4 linked regions of the Schizosaccharomyces pombe genome follow. The protein of the gene in region 3 binds, or shares a complex with, the protein of the main gene of each other region. Each region holds a gene or a part of one and is shown on either strand. Other genes may lie near its edges. The genes, in order: dad1, dad5, dad2 and ask1.

The links.
Region 1: dad2 (region 3) and dad1 share a complex: the UniProt entries of both Schizosaccharomyces pombe proteins name them as parts of the DASH complex.
Region 2: dad2 (region 3) and dad5 share a complex: the UniProt entries of both Schizosaccharomyces pombe proteins name them as parts of the DASH complex.
Region 4: dad2 (region 3) and ask1 share a complex: the UniProt entries of both Schizosaccharomyces pombe proteins name them as parts of the DASH complex.

The regions. Positions count from the first base shown.
Region 1 is NC_003424.3:3,086,136-3,091,340, forward strand, and holds dad1 (DASH complex subunit Dad1), read right to left. Parts: upstream 3,206-5,205; 5' UTR 3,191-3,205; coding exon 2,918-3,190; 3' UTR 2,649-2,917; downstream 1-2,648. Other genes in the region: Rho family GTPase Rho4, read left to right, coding at 903-936, 992-1,033, 1,095-1,141, 1,249-1,452, 1,569-1,703, 1,760-1,909; Smc5-6 complex non-SMC SUMO ligase subunit Nse2, read right to left, coding at 3,448-3,912, 4,028-4,150, 4,398-4,562; taz1 (telomere length regulator), read right to left, coding at 5,102-5,205. UniProt on the Schizosaccharomyces pombe protein: Component of the DASH complex that connects microtubules with kinetochores and couples microtubule depolymerisation to chromosome movement; it is involved in retrieving kinetochores to the spindle poles before their re-orientation on the spindle in early mitosis and allows microtubule depolymerization to pull chromosomes apart and resist detachment during anaphase.
Region 2 is NC_003421.2:1,668,596-1,673,999, forward strand, and holds dad5 (DASH complex subunit Dad5), read right to left. Parts: upstream 2,268-5,404; 5' UTR 2,011-2,267; coding exon 1,726-2,010; 3' UTR 1,349-1,725; downstream 1-1,348. Other genes in the region: DNA-binding transcription factor, nutrient sensing, zf-GATA-type Gaf1, read right to left, coding at 1-282; SPOM_SPCC417.03 (uncharacterized protein), read left to right, coding at 3,408-3,456, 3,648-3,769. UniProt on the Schizosaccharomyces pombe protein: Component of the DASH complex that connects microtubules with kinetochores and couples microtubule depolymerisation to chromosome movement; it is involved in retrieving kinetochores to the spindle poles before their re-orientation on the spindle in early mitosis and allows microtubule depolymerization to pull chromosomes apart and resist detachment during anaphase.
Region 3 is NC_003424.3:2,783,564-2,789,256, forward strand, and holds dad2 (DASH complex subunit Dad2), read right to left. Parts: upstream 2,730-5,693; 5' UTR 2,586-2,729; coding exon 2,450-2,585; exon of another isoform or gene 2,419-2,449; intron 2,122-2,418; coding exon 1,973-2,121; 3' UTR 1,596-1,972; downstream 1-1,595. Other genes in the region: porphobilinogen synthase Hem2, read right to left, coding at 378-1,367; dynein light chain Dlc1, read left to right, coding at 4,507-4,515, 4,565-4,675, 4,736-4,951; protein Pop6, read left to right, coding at 5,527-5,693. UniProt on the Schizosaccharomyces pombe protein: Component of the DASH complex that connects microtubules with kinetochores and couples microtubule depolymerisation to chromosome movement; it is involved in retrieving kinetochores to the spindle poles before their re-orientation on the spindle in early mitosis and allows microtubule depolymerization to pull chromosomes apart and resist detachment during anaphase.
Region 4 is NC_003423.3:1,561,140-1,567,113, forward strand, and holds ask1 (DASH complex subunit Ask1), read right to left. Parts: upstream 2,513-5,974; 5' UTR 2,426-2,512; coding exon 2,409-2,425; intron 2,354-2,408; coding exon 2,206-2,353; intron 2,128-2,205; coding exon 1,369-2,127; 3' UTR 1,187-1,368; downstream 1-1,186. Other genes in the region: protein trafficking protein Pga2, read right to left, coding at 498-896; protein meu25, read left to right, coding at 2,763-4,631; septation protein Uds1, read left to right, coding at 5,264-5,974. UniProt on the Schizosaccharomyces pombe protein: Component of the DASH complex that connects microtubules with kinetochores and couples microtubule depolymerisation to chromosome movement; it is involved in retrieving kinetochores to the spindle poles before their re-orientation on the spindle in early mitosis and allows microtubule depolymerization to pull chromosomes apart and resist detachment during anaphase.

The sequences.
Region 1 (5,205 bases), 300 kb from region 3:
AAACCTAACAGTAATCTATAAATTTTAAGGGCTAACATTACATTCAAAAGTTATTAGAATGTTGCTAATAAATAGCCAGAACATTATTTTTATTATTCATTCTCATTTCTTACTTATTTAAGTGAATTAAAGAAAATGCGTAAATTAGATTTAATCCGTTAAAGTACAAGCAAGTCCCGAGTGGCTCAATCGGTTTAGAGCGTCTGACTCTTATGATGGTCATCAGAAGGTTGCGAGTTCGAGTCTCGCCTTGGGAGTTAATTTTTTGGTTATGGTACTTCAAGGCCAAGTAGAATAATCAATTAATTATTATGTATTTTTACTTCAATAATTTAGTTCCCAAAACCCGTTACTTTATTAATTAGTATAAGCTGATGAATTCACTTATTGAGTCGCCAACTTAACGATGAGGTGTTAGACTAGCCTGCCATATATACTTTTGGCGGTAAATATTTCAATTTCGTTAGGTATTTTTATCTAACTAATGTACACGTTTCTAGCAACCTGAAATGTAGGCTTGTAGAACTAGTTGAAAACAGAACGTTTGGATTATATGAATGATAATGAATACACCGAGCATCTTTTATTAGGCAGACTCAACAATTGACAACTTTGCAATGTCCATTGAATCCTAAAAATAAAAATAGACAGGTATATATACCTATAATTTTTTTGGTGGCTAACAACCTAACTTTTTCAATTAAAACAATTAACCGGCATAGTCCTTCGTAAATTCCATGCACACTTGATAAATTTAAATATGTTTCATCGCGGATATTCCGTTTACTGTTTTATATATTTATTTACCTATTGTTTACGTGCTGCGTTGTCATGGCAATGTTTAGCTTGGAAATACCAGCAATCTCAGCTGGTAAGCAAACATTAACAACAACAAAGGCAATATGTCTGCTTTCAAAAAGAGTGGATCCAAGTCAGGTAATTCAATTGTTCCTTTTTCTCAAATATCTTAAAGTTTTTGCTAATTTTTCAGAGACTTCAAAGAAACTTGTGGTCGTAGGAGATGGCGGTTGTGGTATGCTTGATAAATATAGGTGAATGACAGCTGGTCTAATGTACTAATGCTTGATGTATAGGAAAGACATGTCTTTTAATTGTATTCTCAAGCGGAACTTTTCCCGAGGTATGCCAATAGATCGAACAATAACTGTTTAAGTGCAGTGTTCATATGATTCATGTACTCAGTTCACTTGAATTATCTAAGTATACTGATTTCTAACATCATGCTAGAGATATGTGCCTACAGTGTTTGAAAATTATATCACCGATATAACATATGGACCGAACAGCAAAGTTATTGAACTTGCTTTGTGGGATACTGCTGGTCAGGAGGAATATGATCGTTTACGTCCTCTAAGTTACCCGAATAGCAACGTTATTTTGTTGTGTTTCTCAATTGATTGTCCGGCTTCTCTGAATAACGTTACGGAGAAGGTATGTGCTCTATAATTTATATTGCTAAACGTAGCTTTGGGTTTCTTCAATGTCATTTGCGTCTAGCCATTAGTATTTCATCTTTCTCATATTATTTTCTAACATTTTTCTTTCAGTGGTATCCTGAAGTTCAACACTTTTGCCCTAGAACTCCCATCGTTCTCGTCGGGCTAAAAGCGGATTTACGCAAAGATAGGAATGCTACTGAAGTACTAAGAACCCAGGGTTTAACACCAGTAACCTACCAACAAGTATGTCAATGATAAGCTAACTTTTTTCTTTCGTTTATTTTTTTTAACATATTTAGGCTCAATCCGTTGCTTTATCAATGAACGCTCCATATGTCGAATGCTCTGCCAAAGAAAACACTGGTGTAAATGAAGTTTTTCAACTTGCTGTTGGCCTCACTATAAAAAAATCATTTTCGTTTTCTAAAAAGTCTTGCGTGATTTTATAATATCTTGATCATGGCCTTTATTTACTTAATCTTACCATTTTTGATGTCTTCATTTTTGCTTCGCCTATTTGTATAGCATTTGATGAGATTGTTGGAACATAAGAAGCAAGAAAAACGCTTTATTTACGCATTCTAACATTGCTAATTGCATATAAACCAATACTCCAAACGTTTGCTGCAATAGAGACATTATGCTTGTATGCTTTCTTTTAATCTAAGCATATTGTGTAGCAGTTTCCTTTTCAGAATTTTGCTCCTATCTCAACTTTTTATCTTTTCAGGTATTTAACTAGCCAATATGGTTTAGATGGATTATCGACTATTGGAGCTATTTTGTGATTTATAATTTGTTTATTAAGACGTTATCTGTTTGATTCTGAATATATGTCAGCAAAAATCAATTGGTCTTAATGTTTTTTTTTACTTTTACTTCAAATATGCCTATATTTGTCCGAAACTTTGAAAATCGGTTTTTTAACCCTGACTGGTTCAGGGTATTCATGTCGTGAATAAAACGATAGTTATATAGAAGATATTGAAATGAATACTTATGATTCCTTTTACCTTTTTATTATGCTAAACTGCATTAAACCCCTTTTATAATTTAAATAATACCATTAAAATGGTAATTTCTAAAAGGATTCGTATAGTAGTAAAGAAAAAGTTTACTATGCAAATATTAACATCAACAGTTGTTCTGCCTCTCAGACGATGAACGGCTTATTTAAAAATTGGCAGCTTTTAGAAGAATATAGGAAGATTAAAAACTAATATATATATACAAACACATTATTAATGAAGTGACTTAAGGTTTGTGTATTGTAATATGTAAGTTAATTTAAAAGAATCCTGACCTTTGACCAATTTTTGAGGACGCTATTAAATTTATAGATTCATAAAAAACATATAATAACTAATAATTTAATTTAATATGCAAATTCTTTGAAACAAACTGCGTTAAGGCATATGTTTAGCGGCAATGAAAATACATTTAGAAAAGAACGACCATCAAGGTGCATCTAGCATTTCACGATCTTTCTTCTGTAACACTGAATTTTGAAACTCCTTCCAAAGAGACGCGACATTTTCAAATTCCTTTCCAACACCGTTAATGCTTTCAAGATTTTTATTTAGAGCTGACATAAGATTCACAACTTCATTCATACTTTTTGAAATTTGTAAGGTCAAAAGACGACGCCTTCTTTCAAAATCTATATCATCAAAATCTTTATTTTGCTCATTTTGTATGTTTTCAGTAATATCCATATTTTCTGAGGACATGGTATGTTAATGGCTAGTGTCAAAGTCAAGCATGAGCCAAAGTTTATCATAAGGTTACAATCAAGTAGATCTTATATTAGATTTAACTATCTTCATAATTAAATGCCAAAATTGAAGCTTCCGTACGAGCATAGAATATTAGTCAAAAGAGACATGTTATGCATATTTACAAGTTGGAATAAACAAATACATTAAATATAATAATAATAATAATAATAATAAATCCGGATCAGTACTACAATGTAAATAGAAAAGGACTAAGCTTCTTTTAAATTACTTATTTCCTGAGCGCGGCGTAATCTGCGTTCAAGAATCTCATCTTCCTTAAGTAAAGACCTTTGTAAACGAGCTTCACATCCTACAACAGGGCATACACAAGTTGGATTTAACAGAGACAAAATAGCATCTTTTTCATAAAAATGATTACAGGCTGTCGATAATATTGGGTGAACAATTGGTTGTAAAGTTAAAGGGCATCTGTTATCAAAGGTAGCTGAATATACCATCACTTCATCTGCTTCCTGTTCTTCAGTGTTCATGACATTAAAAAATGTTTTCATAGAAGGAAAGTCAGAACCGTCTGTATTTTGCTCATGCCATATGGTTTTTTTAAATTCAATGTATTCTCCTTGTGTGCCATATTTACCATAGTCGGATTTTTCTTCGTATTCTTGAATGAGTTCCTTAAAAATTTGTGTATAAATATCCAACAAACTTTTATTCTAATTTTGTTAGAACAATTGAATATGAAACAGTAAAAAAATACGTCTAAATTGATGTTTTTACTTCATCTACATATAATAGAAAAAGTAGGAAAGTCATTTCCGTGGTACGTACTTCAAAATCACTTATATTTTCACTGGTTTTGTTAGCCAATGTATCCACCGATTGCTGCATCAATAACAATCTCTGCTTTGCATCCAACAGCTCTCGGATCCCGCTATCAAGCATGTCCAAACACTAAAAGGCAAGTGTTAGTCAGAAGTCATAAAGTAAGCAGCATGTCATATTATGTCTATTTTAGGCTCTCTCTCAATAGCCGGAAATAAGAGGAAGAAAAATATTAGTTAAACAATGTTTTTGTATGTATATTTGTACAGCGAACTTCTTTTTAAAAAACTGTATCTCGACATAACACCACTTTCGAGTTTTAAAAGCAATTCATATTAATTTTTTCCATTATCTTTCGTAATAATGGTACACATACCTCATTATTTTTTATCTCAGCAGCAACTAGAGCACATTTTATCACCTGTTTAATTGAATCGTCAATTTCCTTCAATTGGAAGTCGAAACTGCAATGATTTTGGTTTCCAGGTAATAAATTTTGACTTAAAGCCTCCAAGGAAGTTTTTAATTGTGCTTCACTCATTTACGATTCCATTCGAGAAAGAAGTAGTTACGACGTTTAATTAGTAGACAACGCAATTTGGGATTGAAAACCTATTAATTGCATATGAAAACTAAATGCCACAACACTTATTTCCTTAAATAAAAAAAGAATGTTTTTTAAGCAAGGGTAATAACCACGTTTTAAAATTTAAACTCCAGTACGTTTTTATGAAGATTGATGGCATATGTATAAAGACTAAATAAATTCTTATTTACTGTCACGTTTAATACAAATGAATGGGTTATGAAATATTCTCATTTGGAATTAGAATTTATAATGCATACTTCGGACAATTAACGCTTGACTTTTAGTACCTCTATTACTAAACCAACTATTCAATATGATAAACCAATAAAGGATGATTAAGGCCGTGAAATGTATAAATTAAATTATGTTATTTTCAAAATATTCCATAGATTAGTAGTAAAGTAAAACACGATTAACAAAACTATCCGAGTCTTGTCAATATTATTCATTAAAAAAGCAATCATGAACAAACTCTATCCGGAGACGAAAAATTAAGATTGATAATTAACAAGCTCTTCCCGTAAAAGTGGCGGAGTTGCCTCTATGTAAGGTATTTTATGAAGTTCACAATAGGCCTGGCCCACAGTAACATTTT
Region 2 (5,404 bases), on a different chromosome or scaffold from region 3:
AGGGGCAGTGGGATCAGAGAAAGTGTCTGGGGTTAAAGTATTTGAATCACCATTTGGTGTTAAGTTCTTTTGCAAATTTATAGACATTAAACGCCATGTCAAGTTCTCGACACGACGACCATTAGACAGTTCCGACTTTGCCTTGGAAAACATTTTCCAGAGGTCTGACATCGTGGAATAATCTTCTTTGGAGGAAGATTCGTCCGTGGTAGATTTGTCAAATTTTTTGACAAGTGCTGGATGTTCCGCTTCCTTGAAAAAATTGGAAAACTTTAGATCCATAAGTAAGGTTTTATGCAAAAAATGTTTAATCACAAAGCAGGGATATATCCAAAAATGATACCCAAAAAATCAGTAACTTCAGCCAGCTTGAAATGTGGATAAGAAAGAAAAAGGGAAGTTTCCGAATAAAAAACCGAAACAAAAAATAAACGAATGAAATGAACGAAAGAGATCGCCTCTCAAACGTTAAACAAAAAAAAAGTTGTAGTAAAAAATCACAAAAAAATAATAATATAAGGTAAGATATAAAAAAACAGGAAATCTTAAGCTAGGACCAAGAAAGCTTCTTTAAATGGAAAACACGAAATGGCAGTGAATACCAAGACACACCAACAACGTTGTTTAGTTAGGTACTACTTTGAAATGATTGTGCAAACCACACGAGCGAAGGTAAAAATAGCAAGAAGTTCAAGTTGCTTTGATATGAACAGGTACTTTAAACAAAAAAGACGTGAACCCCAAAACAAAAACGATCTAAAAAGGGGAAATAAAACAACAAAAACGAACTAAAATACCAAAACAAATATAGAAAAATAAAACAGATATAAGCTAGAATACAATCCAGAGGTGTGGTGGAACAAAAAAAAGTAATTTGTAGACAGATTGGGGAATGGTGGCGCTATGGCTTCCTCAAATCAAATTTCCGTTTTCCCTGGAAGAGAGCAAAAAAAGAAGAAACTGCAAAAGAAAACAGATATTTATTGATTAGGTATGTAATAAGGAGGAGCCAAAGCTTAAAGAAATCAATTTACAAAATCGTTTGAAACGTTTAAAATTAGTACAACCTGCTTTTCTTTTTTCGTTGAGGTTGGCAAAGGGACGGCGTTGTTCACACCCATCTAAGCGAGGTCGAAGAAGCTCTCTTCGGTAAATCGTAAGGTGAAAATAAAGAAGCCTAACGAAAGGAACCACTTTTACCTTTTTTTAGCTAGCTATCCAATGATTGTGCGCTATCTCAAATAAAAACCATATGATTGGTACACTGACTGTTTTGTGAAGCGCAATTGACCAATCATTTCTGGTATCCAATTTTTGCAGTTTCCCTTGGTTACTTAGCCGACCGAGCTGACCAATGAACGAGATCACTTATTAGACGAACTAGAACACCCTCTTTTAGCCTGCTATTTTTTACAGAACTGCATCGTACAATGCAGTAACATAGGTTTCGGGAGTGCAGCCCGAGAGTCGCAAAACTCCCATAGCGTAAAATGCCGAAAAGCCGTATTCCGGATGCATAGTTGATACAACTCCAACACCCACATATTGAAAGAAGCCCCAAATACCGCATTGTTGCAGTAAAATAAGAAATAGCCCCATCTAATTAAGAAAGAGCACATTCCTACTTCCTTTCCTGTTATATTTCTCCTTCATTGGGGCACTTTGTCTCTTGTATTCTCCTTTTTATCATTGTCATTTGAGGTCTGCATCAAAAAAGTTGGAGACTCACATAGGAACGTCTTCTTCCACAGCATCTGAAGACTTTTGAATCCTCGCTTCGGACATAACGCGACCAGACGCCATCAGAAGCGAGGCCTGAAGAGCACCAAGACGTCGGATGGCTTCTGCTTGAATTGCGGTAACATGTAAGTGGTTTTCCAAATGAGACATGTTGGATTGCAACTTGGACAGTTGGTCCACCAAACGATTCATTTGAAAGCTTTTCATTTGACTGGGAGATGGAGATGAACTGCTTGTTCGACTAGTTGGCACAATGGTAGAACGACGCATGGTGTAAGGTGAAAGTGAAAGAAGGCAGACAGGTAGATGGAAGGTAAACAAACCAAACGCGTGTGTGATGGGCGAGTGCAGCTTTTAAGACACCGCACTAAAATGCAATCAACCTTCAGTATCGACAATTAAAGGAGACCATTACCCACTTGAGTGGTATTTCAATTTAACAAATTGCAGCGATTTCCAACAATACCGGCCGACGTTAGTATTCCTCAAAAATGAATAAGAGCGTAAAATAGCGTGGAAAGAGTGGCAGAAAAAGGCGACCAGCGCAGCGCACCTATCTTTTATGTAGCTGACAAGAAGGAAAAGGGGGACGGTAAATTTTTCGCTTACTGATAAAAAACCAAACTTTCGTTATATGGTTTAGCGAGACATAATTTCCAAGCTAATAAGTAATACCGAAATCGTTCCTTTTGCTAAATTTTTCGGGTCAGTTCCGTGGAAATAGGCAAAATTATTGGTAAGGATGGAATTATCAAGTTTTGCATAATTTCCATGGAAGTGTAGAAGGAGGATGAAGACGGAACTGATGAAAAGTGCTCCAAAGCTCCGATCACAATCATGTTGGATGAGGTGCTTTGTCCAAATCAAAGGAAATAAAAATTCTCCGTAAGCTCGACATGCTAGGCATCTTATGAGGAAGATAGGCAAATGAGTATTTTAAAGGAAAAAAGAAATGGAAAGAGCACGATCGTTAGACAAATTACATACGGAAGTCAATGTCCGTGCAAGAGAAGACGCAGCAGCGTGATGTGCATCCGTTGTTTTAATTATTGTTTGAATTTTCAAACTTTACTCAACTACGATCGGAAAACCTTTTTTTTTAATAAACTACTTGTCTTAATATCCTCGGGTTTTATTCAGTTTCAAAAGCATCGAGATTTCACTACACTGGGGTTTATCTTTTAGGTCCCCCACATCTATCATTTCACAGAGTTCCATTTCATATCGACGCTAGGATGGGGTTTGACATATAGTCTTCTTATATGTGAAAACATATAGCTTTTCTAATCAGGTTTTGTTTTTTCGTTTCAGATATATCGGAAGTGAGTTGACCGAACAATGGATTTTATCTTAGCATGGACAAATGTATCAATTCCCTGGAAATGATTCTCTTGGAAACAAAAGAAAGGAAACAGGGATACACAAACCAGTCGAGACAAATAAAATCCAACAGGAAAATTGCTTGGTGTAAGGAAATCGTCATAGAATGCTTTATGGGAGTTTGGGAAGTATTTGTAATATTTACATTTTTTTTCTACTTTTTTTTTTTTTAATTTTTTTAGTTAATGTTTGGCTATTTTCAAAGGAGGAATTCCTGAGTTAGATGAAAATTAGTTTTTAATTTGTTTCTTTTTTTTTATATAATCAAGTTGGTTCATTTAGTAACCATGCTTCCTCATACCGCTTTTTCTAATCATATTCATTACCATTTTATAAGTAATTTTTTCAAACATTCACTCATCCCTTTCTAATCATATACCCCATTTTTATTATAGTTTCTTTCATGAAAATGAATGACTCCTACACTCCATACACATACATCGTTTCGTTTCACAATTTTGTACGCTTCCCCATAAAACAAAGAAATACTTCCATTCACCACGCCCCTAACAAAAGAAAAAGAAAAGATGAAGCCCCTTTCCGTCTATGTATATATACCCTTTTTCATGCTCACACGTGTTTTTCCTGCGGTTTATCATTATCGCTTATGGAAGTGATAATGGATATCTCCCAGTTGCTTATTTCCTAAATCACTCATTTCTTATCCTTATTGCGCTAAAAATGATAACAGTCGCATATTTTCCTCGTCCCTGCTAATTTACGAAGAGTTGATTACTTCATTCCAAGAAAGACGTAGGAAGACGTAGGAATGTCAAATTGCGATCCTATTTTCCCAACTCATCTCGCTTTCACTTGGCGTTGTTGGCATTCCTTTGATTATGACGGACATTTACATCCGTAATAGATGATTGCATGTAAACGAATTTTGTGCTTTGTCAAAGTGCAAAAAAGAGCTACCGATAAACGGAGGACCGATTGTGTTGAACAACTGCACTGACTAACACAAATTTATCAATGGAAAAAAGGTATACGTCGGCGATGCTCTGATAACTAAATGAAGGCTTTTTTTTTTCCTTTTGCGACTCGCCTGCCGCCGCACACTTACTCATGTTGATAGCTCAAACAAATCAAAATACTAACTTTAACGCCGACAATGCTCCACTTGCATCTTGTCTATCTTGGCGATTATGGTTACCTCAAACACATACCGTCTTTTACCACTTATCACTAACAACTTTGTGGAGCGGATTTTCATCCTACCTTGATAATCATCTACCCTCGCACCAGTACCGCAGTATTTCTTGATAATGAGAACGGATGCAGACTAGATGGGGCAGTAGTAAAAGAGCTCGCAAAAGAAACATGAAATTTCATAAACAAATGCTGACGAAAGTATATGAATGAAACTAACATTAACACAAATATGAAATTGAGATTTGAGTCAAACCCAATAATTAAATCCAAACTTTACATGAAACTGACTAGTACCAAAAATGATCAAAACCATACAAATACAGTCTACCCACTTTGGCTGAGAAATCGCCTATCAAACATGACTTGCTTAGTTGGCCCAGTCTATTACATTCCTCGACATATCCGTATACAAGGAAGATGATGATGGAGGAACACTTGATAACATGATTAATAAAAGTCTTTCGAAATCTAAAGCATTCCATTTGTTATCGAGCAAAAGAATAGAGGTAAAAAAAAGTTTTTGTTGTTCATCAGAAGGACCTTTATTTTATTTTTTTTTTGGGTCTTTGACTTTTTCTATTGAGGTATCCATACTAAAAGAAACATTAGAGAAGCCTTTGCAAATCATCACTTTTCTCTTCTTCTCTTTTCTTACTTCGTTTAACGATCTTCCATACGTTTTGTCTTTCTCAGCACCTGAATGCGTAAAAAATGAAATTTTTAAAATCCCACCCCCGTTAAACGAACATTTTTCATTCCCTGTCAAATGTTGTGCTTATCAATTCATTTTGCGTAATCGATTTCTCCTCATTTGGTGTAATTCAGAAACAATCCATCTTACTTATCTGATAGATACCGTGGTAATTGAATCATCCACTTTCTGGTGTACAGGATCACTGATATACATTTTGCCGCAGCCCGACGTTTTTATCTATCAGGGCTCGGGATCCCTACGACCCTCGATAATTGACTATCCACGTGAGTAATTTAGCCTACATTAGTGCCCCGAGGCATTGCACAGATGCGAGATGTCCTATTGTACTCCGAGAAAAGGCCCCTTTCAAATTTTCTTCTTTGCGCTTCTTTCTACTGGGATCTATCCAGTTCGCCGCGGACTTGATATGGAAGT
Region 3 (5,693 bases):
ACTTTATTCTAACTGCCATGAAGTATTGAGACAAATCTATCAAATTATATAAATTAAATATTAAATTTTTAACATGTCCGTTCATCGCTTGCAAAAGGAGTCAATAGGATATCACGATAATTTGGCAACCTACGGTTGTCTAAGATAAAATCTTGTTCTACACACGAATTTAAAGTATTTTAAAAGAAAGAAAAACAATTTCTTTCGTAAATAACTGCTACAGATTATAAACGAAAATTTTTAATAAACAAGAACCGGTAATCGCAGATTCGAAAAACAATTTCATAAGTGAAACTCTAGACCATTAAAGAATATAAACAAAATAATTTTTCAATCATGATAATTTTGAAGATGATTGATTTCGCATTATTTTTTGTTTAATATTCTAGCCATTCCAATAATTCAGGAGTAAAGTAAGTCAAAACTATGTTAGCGCCAGCACGCATAAAGCCATCCATGGTTTCCATCACATGTCTTTTTAATTCAAATACGCCAGCGGCAGCAGCAGCATGAATAATGGCGAATTCGCCTGAAACTTGATAAGTAGCAATAGGAAGGTCATCTGCTAGCTTAGAAGCCATTGCCAAAATATCGAGATAAGGTGTTCCCGGTTTTACCATAATACCATCAGCACCCTCTCTAACATCGCGAAGAATTGCTCTTTTGGCCAAGCCACGTGCATTACAGGGAAGTTGATAACAGCTGCGATCACCAAATTTTGGGGCACCATTAGCAGCAGCTCTGAAAGGACCAAAAAAACCAGAAGCGAACTTTGCAGAATAGGAAATAACGCATACTTTATGAGACAGTTCCAACTCTACAAGTTTCTGCTTAATCGCCTTAACACGACCGTCCATGCAGTCACTAGGAGAAATTATTTGAGCGCCTGCCAAGGCATAATTTCCACTAACTTCAGCAATTCTCTCAACGGATTTAGCATTATTGATAGTGCCATCTTCATATAACAGACCACAGTGGCCGTGATCAGTATACTCGCAGAGACAAACATCACAAGCAACAACCAGCTCCGGAAAAAGGTGACGAATTTCTTTAACGGCTTTAATAACTGGTCCATTTTCGGAATCGGCCATGCTACCACAATAGTCCTTTTTGGACTCGATGACACCAAACAGAATTACACTACGAAGACCTTTTTTGACGAGAGGACCCAAAAACTCTTCCAATCTATTAACACCCCATCTAAATTGATTAGGCATGCTATCAATGGCTTCCTTAGCATCATCTATTTCGGAAATGAAGATAGGATACATTAGAGATGACTTGGTAATGGGACGTACACCTTGCCATTCACGAAGCAACGGGTTTGAATACCCAGCATGCAAAAGAGAACTGATATCAACAGGCATATTAAATACTAACTGACAAAATTTATTTGATTTTTCCTAAAGATGTAAAACTGCGTAAAAAAAGCAGATTTGTGACAAATGGAACTAATGGACCAGCAAAAGCGCCTTTTATTGGTTATTTAAAAAAGTTCTAGCGGAAGATCAACAAGATTTCCTAAGAAATATTTTTAAAAAGGTAAGTGGCAGATGGCGAGAGGTTGGCGAAGGTTAAGATAAATAAGTTTAACTTTTTTTTAAAAAATCGGGCATCGGACCACGATATTTGTTGATTACATAACAATAGTATCACTCCTGAATAAATTGTTTGTCCTTGAAGAAATTAATTGTCGTAAGGGAATGCTGGGAGTATTCAAACAAGCGAAACAGGACGAACGCCAAAAGAAAATGACCAAATGAAAAATTTAGATATCATTTAGTTTACAAGGTGATCTCATTCTCCATTTCATTAGGAAGTGAAGATACTTGGAACTTGGGTTTGCTGTCGGCTTTACCAATTCTGAAATAGAAGAAACAATATGAATAAATGGACAGAACAATAATATTTATTTTAACCAATTCTTGGCCTTTTCTACTTCAGTGAGAAATTAAAAAGAGTATTTAAGTCTTTATACCTCTTCAACATCGCCTTGCTCCGTAGCAGATGCGTTGGTATTTGAAGTAGAAGGAGGAATTCGGACTAAAGCTCCTGAATGTTGGGATGCTATCTGTATTGACTCAAAAATGCTGGGCCAATTATTGAGAACAGTAGCAACAGCTGATTTTGTTAGTGATTTGAGTGTCAAACATTTATTATAATGGATTAAAAAGAGTCGTCAAGCATGTATGAGTAGTAGTGAAAATAGAAAAAATAAATAAATAAACAGATTATATTTTTTACGTTTAGGTGAATTATTGAGAGGTAGAAGTTCATTTAGAGACATGTCGGCAAATGATTGCTTTTATTTGCAATCCTGCAGATCCAATCAATTCACTTGTTTCTTTGCTTTTCTCAATGTAATGATATTTATACTTGTTCACATGAATAGCACTTAAACAGATTGGTGACAAGGCTCTTTTATATACTTTCCTCGTAATGAACATACCTTCACTTCCATCTGTTAAAGTTTCCAATTTAGCAGCAAGCGTTTCTATTTGTTGAACCATATCATTAGAAGAATCTCTTAGTTTGCATATTAGTTCGTATTCCTTTTGCTTTTCCTCAATCCTTGCTTGAAGCATGTTCACGCCAAATGTTTGTAGAAGAAGGTACGAAATTTACTAGATTTATCTCCTACACCATATAAGGCGATTTCGGTTTTGTAATTATACGTTTAAAACAAATAATTTCCGTTTCTGGAATTTTATATCTCGGAATGTATTACTAATAAAGAGGTTGATAATAGAGACTAACAAAAAATATAATGATTGATTTTACTCAATTTTAACCATTTGTTTTCATCTTTAATAAATTAGTTAGTTCATTAATTTAAAGTAATAATGAATTTAGGAAACTATGTTGAATAGTGAATATAATTACTCAAATAATGGGTCAAGTTTAGCTAGCTTATTATATCCATATTTTACTAAGTAAGTATGCATTGCTTCATCCCTCTAAAGTTTTAAAGAGGATCAAAACTGTGCATATTCTCTACTATTTCTTCTTTTATTTTTATTTTTATTTTTTTTTACACAAGGTATAATGGGCTTAAAAGACTTTTAAGATTTGGGTTCGATAGTATATTCTTTTGGTCAACAAGATTGTCAACGTTCCGATACATAAGGAAATGAATTTTTTATTCTAGACAGGATGCAACTTCCACGTATGTTTTCTAAAATTTGAACCGTATTTGACTAATTTAAAAATTCATAAAATGTCTCATCCACTATTGAAGTTTCTTCAATGATCGGTTCCAACGGGTCGTTAAAGAATACCCAACTTTTTTAGAACAAATTATAATAGAGTGGCTATTATCCATTTCTAATTAACAACTTTTTAACATACATCAAACCCTTGTTTACATGGTAATCGAGTATTTTCCTTCGCAAAAATTCACTATTACTCCAAATACTCAGTTACTGAATTGTTCGATCTCACAATTAAATTTCGCGCAGTATGTTATTATATTCTATATACAGTTTTAGAATAACGCACTTTATACATGGTTTTCGGCAATAACGTTTACATTTATATAACAATTAAACAAGTTATAATACCGTTATATCACAGAATGTCCCTGTAAATAAAAGTCAGTAAATAATCTATAGGAAAGAAAAAAAAGGAAAAGGATAAAAGGGTTAGGGGATTGAAAGGATCATTGATTTAAAATCTTTGGGTAGTAGCATCTTTATGTATCGCAGTACCGATGAGATCTTCTCCATTTTTGTAAAATTATTGAAAGAACTAATGGTAGGAATACTAAACATAAATTATCTTGTAGTTTTATTCAATGATCAAATAGTTAAAGATTTGGATGATTTCGCTACATTGATACTTGGATTCTATGAACAGCAAAACAATCGCTTTCCCTTCATGCTGAATTAACATTTCGATAACTAAAAACAGATTCTATACACTTTAAGTTCAGAGAATTTAAATTGTTGTTTTTTCCTTCGGCCCGTCTTCAAAGAAACACACTCAATTCATTACTGAAACTGGACTTGCTAAGAGTATTGTTAAAAGCGTAAAGCACACATTAATGTCTTTTGGTAATCCAAACACCAGTAATTATGTGTAATTATGAGTTTTTTCGATACAATTATTACGGTTAGAGGAAGACATGGTTTCCAAAATCATTATGCATTTCTTTCGAAATCAATTATCGATGTTTCAACCATCAACTGTTTTCAAATTGGTATTAATTAAAGAATGTAAGAAATAGAAATAAACGCTGTTTTCCTTTAAAGCAATACTTGATGCTTTATTTGAATTATCTCATTCATCCCAACGTGAAGTTGACGATTCGCTGTAAGCGAAAAATCCTTACTTAACTTCAGGTTTAAAGCAAAAAGAAATCAACAATAAAAAGAAATGTTAACGTGAGTTATGTTCGCGTTGAACTTTGTATCGATGGGGTTGTCACCGTTAAACGTCGTACTAGCTGTGGGTGTCTTTATCTCACTGCGTACCCTCCTTGTACTCATCAAAATACCCCATTTCGAAATGAGCTGTGTAAGTCGTCAAATACGCGATTCGTTTACTAATTTGATTATGAAAATAGCCTATAGATTCCAAAAAACTTGAAGAAATTTGCCTAGAAGCTGCTCAGCCGGTTTTGAAGGCTTCCGAATATGACGGAGACAAAACAGCTGAAATGAATCAATCTGTTATTGTAAGTTCATTTTATTTTACAAATATCTATGTATGGTAGCTAACTTTATGTCTCATTTAGTATGCCGTATTAAATGCTTTGAATAAGGAAACCCAGTCTTACAAATGGATTGTTAGTTCCACTCTTGTACAAAAGCTTCCCGAAGATCATCCTTCTAGAGGCGTTCACGCAGCTCACGCTGCTTGCTGGAATTGTGAAAAGGATGGAATGACTACTATCAAAGAGAGCGGTGAGGCTATTGACGTAGTATTGAGCATTATGTGGATCTCCATTTAATTACCATATTATCGAAACTGTTCCAATCATGATCATCTTCAAAGACCTCTTTGTTTCATTCCCTCTTTTTATCCCCTGGTACCAGTTTTTGCCTTAGATGCAAATTGCCTTTAACTTTGCAATTTACTAACTTTACTATCTACTCTTCTTTTCTACTTATTCCTATTATATGCAATCTACGATAGTTACGTTTCTTAAAATTCAGACATTTGTGAGCGCTCTGTAACATGTTCGTATTTTATAAGCATTTTGGTGTGTATACGATTCGTGTTCGTCCTTTTTCCAAAGGTTACAAAGGACGTTGAATCGTGTCAGTATTAGCTTGATCGAGCTTTACTTTGCTTGAACTCTCTAAGACTAGCAAGAAACTGAGGTACTTACAATAAAAATAGCGAAAAAGATTTTAAATTTGTTATATCATATACCTTTGCTTTAAGATTAAAATCATACATCTTTTTACAAGGCAGTAAAATGTTGTTTCAACTATGTAATTTATTAATTAATGTTTGGGAGCACCTGTCTAACTACCACGTTATTAGCCTACTAAACGCCATGCAGGCTTTTGCTTATAAACTATGATAATAGAGAAAAGTATAAATGCTAAGCAACTTTCTTTAAAGTTGTGGGATTCTTTTGTCAAAGAAAAACAAGTTTCTTTTGTGGCTGAAGGAGATGCTACTGTAAAACTAGTAAGTCTAGTTGAACTATTAAAACGTCGTTGTAACGAGCAGAAAATTCCCTT
Region 4 (5,974 bases), on a different chromosome or scaffold from region 3:
CCCGAAACGTAACATGTCAAGCTCAAAATAAGCAAATTTGAACCCATATGCATGCGTTAATAGCGTTTATCGTAATATTACCGCAAATACTTAAATTTTGTTAGAGCATTTAAGGATTATTTAGAATACGTAATATTTCAACTCAAAATACTGGAATGAGTGGGAAAGAAAAATAAATTGATCTAAACGCTGAAATTAAACCTAACAGGGGATTGATTAAAGCTTGGCTCACGAAAAGATATTATGACTTAAAAATGCAAGAAAAAGGAGAAACAATCAAAGGACTTTCGTTGATCTCGTAGGAAAAGAATGCACTCTCAAATTGCATTATTAATCCTACATTCAATTAATTAGCTTTTGCTTTCATCCATGCAGTCACGGTTTCAAGAGAAAAGGATATCAAATTTTCACAAAGAAATTAAAACAATGATTAACAAACTAAATGACACAAGTTTTCTAAAGTGCTTGGAGTAATGAATATTATCTCACAACTAGAATTAATCCTCAAGGTGCTCTTCGATGTCTTCATCATCATCAGCGTAAGCATCAAGAGGAGATTTGTCTTGATTCTTAAAGTATTCTTCACGTTGTTTGCGAATACGGCGGCGTGCTGAATAACCCCAACGGAATTCGGCATCAGGATTTTCTTCTTCTTCCTCATCATCCGTGTCAAATTCTCCATGTTCTTTGGGCTTCGTGCCATGCGTCATTTCCGGATCTAAAGTACCATCTACTTCGCCTTCTAATAAAGATTTTCTATGTTCTCTCTCCTGTATCTTGGCTCCCAACTTCATCAAATATGGCCGGATTAACATATATCCTCCAACATATACGATAATTCGAATCCAGTCCTTCAATGAATATGATTGTAAATAGCCTGCAACGTCAAACCCCATTTTCCTTGCACAAAAAAGAGTGGTGGATACTAAGTTCACCTGTCTGCTCAACCAGGCAAACTATTATTAACCAAGTCACTAAAATTCTTTAGACTTTTTTAGAATTTTTAAAACCTCGTTATTCGTCTTAACGTATATTCTCAATGATATGCTGTAAAAAGATTTATTAATTAGGCTATAATACTAATTTATTTAAAAATTTTATAGTTATTTGCTTTCTTAGTTTATTTTAAAATTATTTTCATACAAATTTTACTTGGTTTACAGTATTTATACCGTGACTTATGATTCTCTTAAAAGAAGAATTTTCCAAATTAAATAGAACGTACAGTAAATAAAAAATTATATAACATAAATATAAGGTGGGATTTTATGAAGTAGACATATGTGCTTAGAAAATAAATAGAAAAAATGCGAAAGTAAGGTTCACTACTAAAGGCGAAACGAAGGTGATAACTTCAGCAGTGCTTTATCAGAGTTCCCAACTATCTTCTTCTTTGACAAAACTATCATTAGAATCATTCAAGGTTTCTAATTTCCTCTGCAAAGACAGGCTTCGCTCGTTGGCTTGCTGAGAAGAACCCACCCCCATGGTATGCGGGCTGAATTGGATAGTTTTAGGTGGAGACATTCCACTTGGGTTAATGCTATCATAGCTTTCATGCTCAAATTCTGCAAATAAAGAAAGAGCATGCGAAGAGTTTCTATCGTTAAGTGAAGGCATGTCCATTTTCATTGATATGGGAGAAGGCGATACAAAAGGAGAAGAATCAATATCCATTACTTCTTGAGATTGCAAATTCTTAGGCTCACGTGGAGTCACTTGTACTTGCCAATTTGTATCTAAAACGCGATGCAGAAGGGCACTACGACCTGTATGAGGATTATTTTCTGGTTTTCTTAGCGGAGTCTGCATCCTTGCCGGGATGGGGGTCAAAGCTGCATCATCTAACGAAATATCCTCTAAGGAGACATCCATCTTCTTAGGAGTGGACTGTACAAAATCCTCGTTTTTTGTATTATCTCCTTGTACAGCTGCATCGGGAAAATCAGATTTTCCGACAAAAGAATGCCTCTTTTCCAAATGTTCATTCTTTGTGTGCAGCTGTAGGTCCGCCTCTGTAGAATTAGACATAACATCTTGATCGCTTGGATTGGATTCTACTGGAACAGGTTCCTCTACACCCGAAAGTGAAACATTGGCACTTGCTTCAAAAAACTGCTTCCAAAACTGTTTTCTGTTAGCTTAATTCTTAAAATAATACAAATTACAAGCTGAATCATGAGTGGCAGTTGCCATTGAACATACTTTTGAAGAGTCCCATATAGTGTTACAATTTTTTGCGTATTTTTCCACGATAGGCAAGATTTTGGTAGTCACTGTTCGATGACATTTAGAAAAATTTGCATCAATTTCGTAAAGTGCTAGAGTAATCGATTGTTCCAATCGTTCTAATCTAATTCTTTTGTTAGAGAATGTTTATCTACAGTCGCGACAAGTTTACTGCATACTGTTCCAAATTGTTCATAAGAATGACATCTAATACTCATAAAAACTTTGAAAATATTATTTCTTAGTATAGAAACTCTCAATGGTGAAATTTATGGCGAACTGCAACTGAGGTGTAGGTATACTAGCGTCCATTATTAGCGATGTTTCGTAAAGTAAACAAGTTAAATTGGCAATATACAGTGAGATTTTTGTAAGTTCAAGATAATACTAATACAATCATTGTTGAGTAATAAATATGAATTTTAAAGTTTTGTTTACTTTCCTCAGTGGACTAAATGCAGACTGCAATGATCAAATGATCCATAGTAAACAAACATTCAACTTGTCTTTTGCCAGCATCCTCAAGATCCAAAATGAGTAGTATCTTTGGAGAGAATATTGTTTCAGATAGTATAGTAAATATGGAGTTGACGAACCCTGATAATACTACGACTATGCATCCCATCTATGAAACTAACATTGAAAAGGAAGTCCAGCAGGAGTTTTCTGACAATGTCTCTGAAAAAGAAACGATTGACTCAACTAAAAGCAAAATATCTTTAGAAAATATACAGCAAGAAATGGGAGCACTTGCCAAGAAAATTTTTCATAAATTAGGGGTTAAAGCAACCGACTTGGGATTTTCTAATGAGCATGATGACTCGCAGGATTCATTACAGACACTAGCGCCTTCTCCATCATATGTTCCACTTTTGAAGGTTATTGGAAGCTCTGAGGAGGTCAATAGCAACTTGGTATTAACCGACTTGGAAACAAATACTGATGGATATGATCCTAAATTTTTGATTTCTGTTAGGAAGTTTTTGATGGGATCTCCCAACTCTGGCTTTGTCGTTAAACATGAGAAACGTCTTCCAGATGGACCGCGTGTTCTGGCCCTTCGAGCCATTTCATCAGTCGATGAAGAAAATAGAAAAGAGCGCCTATCTCCTGATAGTGATCCTGTTGAAACAGAATCTGTTTATGTTGACAATGGAGAATTGTCAAATCAAAAAGTAGAAACAGTTGAAATTTCCGAAAAAGAACAAAATGATGATCCCGCCGGATATTCTCAATACCTTCTAGAGTTCAAGAAGAGTAAATGTCAAAAGAAAGTGCCGACTTTAGAGAGTATTGAGGAAAATGAAGGAACGGAACCTCATGACAACTTGACCTTTATGACTGATTTGGGAACTCCATACTATTCTCTGGGTAATGAATTTGAAAGAAAGCAAATTTTGGATGAATACGGGTTGCTGGCTAATGATGAAAACCTAGTTATTGGACACACGTTAAGAGCGGAGTATTGCTTTATGTTTGATGAAAGCGATATCCTGCAATTACGCAATTATGAACATACAGAAAAGGAACTTAGTGTCCTTCAATTTAAAGGGGTCTCGTCACGTTGGGATTTTCGTTGCTGTAGAGAAGAACGTTTACTCCGATTGCTACTATGTTTCGACAGTGAACATACTGGGCAATCTTTCATTCAACTGAACGATCCTGAAAATGAAAATGAAAAGGAAGAACAAAATTCCATTAGCATTAGGGAATTATCCTACTTCAGCACAAAACTTATTTCATTGATCTTACCCAAAGAAGCACATAAGCAGCGGTATATCATGCTAAGCTCCTTAGCAAAGACAAGGGAAGCTGATTTCTTTTGGTCTGAAGAGGAAAAAACTAATTATACAAACGAGCTTCTCAGCAACCCATGCAAATTCCTTTGTGAACTAGATCATTTCGATTCATTTCCTCATCAACAACAAGATCTACTCTGGAAGTACTTAGCGGAGTTTTCTGCTAGTTTAGAGTTAGACCCCAACCTTGCCCTTTGGAAGAAGCAAGTTATTTTTTCAAAAATCGGTCATCCGAAGTTGCTGGTTATGCCAATATCTAGTTTCCACTGCGTACAACGTTTCCCTGACCTTGTTTGCGTTCAAACTTCAACTGCTGAAACGTTTTTGTCTGTGGATCGTGAATTAACAACTTATGACCTAAACACTATTAAGTTGTTAAACACAGCACCTAGTCGTACAGCTCAAAACTGGCTTTTTATCATGCATCACCTAGAAATTGTAGGCTATTTATTTCCACATTTGGTTCATCTCGATAAACAGTATAGTTTATTAGATTATGCAAAGTCTGTTGAGCACATTCCAGAATTGGGCACTGTACAACGAAAAGGGTTTTTGAACAAAGTCGCATTTGATGATAACGAGGCTTTACTTTACCAAGTTTAAACGTACTGTCACATAATTTTCTATCACATGTTATCGACCATTCAGTGTTGAGGTTCCTAGGAATCTCTTCTAGGATGGTAGTGTACCTTTTAAGCGAAATTTTGTTTCATCTGCACATTCATTATTTACAAACCTATACGAACTTGACAAAAGTTTTTACGAATATACTAAATATTGACTTATTAATACTTGAAAATATTATCACTTTTTTTGAGGTGGTCTAAGTAAAAATGTGTAGGTCGAATTCGTCACATAGGGTAATAAATGTAAGTGTAGGACCGTTAAAGTATGCTCTAAATAATCTTTTAACATATAAAAAGTAATGTGGATTATTTGCAAACACCATAATGAATGTTGATCAAAATACCGGTTCAACGTCGATAAATAACAAACAGCAGAGCCCACCGATACACAAACCTAAAATTGCAAAGGGACTTTAATAGTCGTATAATCTGGAGAATGAAATGCTTAGCGACCGATCATTGCAACGTGATAATAGGTTGGCTTAGGTGCTTTGTTTATTTACATTTCAATGTTAGTTGTCATGGAAACGAAATTCATACAAAATAAAGCGTATGCGGCTGTAAACAAACAAAAGATTCAACATTTACATTTACCCATTTTACCCAAAAATGGGGTTTCATGGATGTTTAAGTACAGATGAATATGAACCTGAGTTAATTGAGAAATATGGGAATCCTGAACCACCTTCTTCAAGCATATTAATTAATACACGACCAGTCAATCCATTTTTATCCACTTTCGTGTATGTAGGAAAGGCTAGCAGTTCTGAAGATGTGTCTATATCTACAGGTGAGGAGGAAATGCGAACCCTTTTAGTTGCGTCTGCTGTTAAAGATGCAAAAGGTTGGGTGTACCTTTCCGGAAAAGACGTTGAAGAAATAAAACAGAAAATAAAAAACCTGCAGGGATTACTTGGTGTTTCTATAAAAAAACTGGCTGTCGAAGCCAAAATTAGAGAAGCTGCTAAGAATTTGATGGTTGCCCAAGCTAAGGAGAAAAAAGGAAAACATAAACAAAGTACGATAGAGCATTACGAACAATGTTCTCGTAGAGTTAGAGAACTTTCTTCTAAGATATGGCTTATTGAAAGGAAACTTGCAGAATTTTATATGCACCTATTGAAGCATATGGTTGCTGTGTGCATTGCTGAGCTTAAACCAGGTAGCTGTAGCAAGGTATCTTCACCGGTTTCTGCCATCACCGCTGATGAGAGCGCAACTGGATTTCGAGATGAAGAAATAATGAACAATGAGGAAATTGAGCAGCTTGTAGAGCGTATGAGCCGTATACTGGAAATTGCTCAATCAATGGGTAATTCA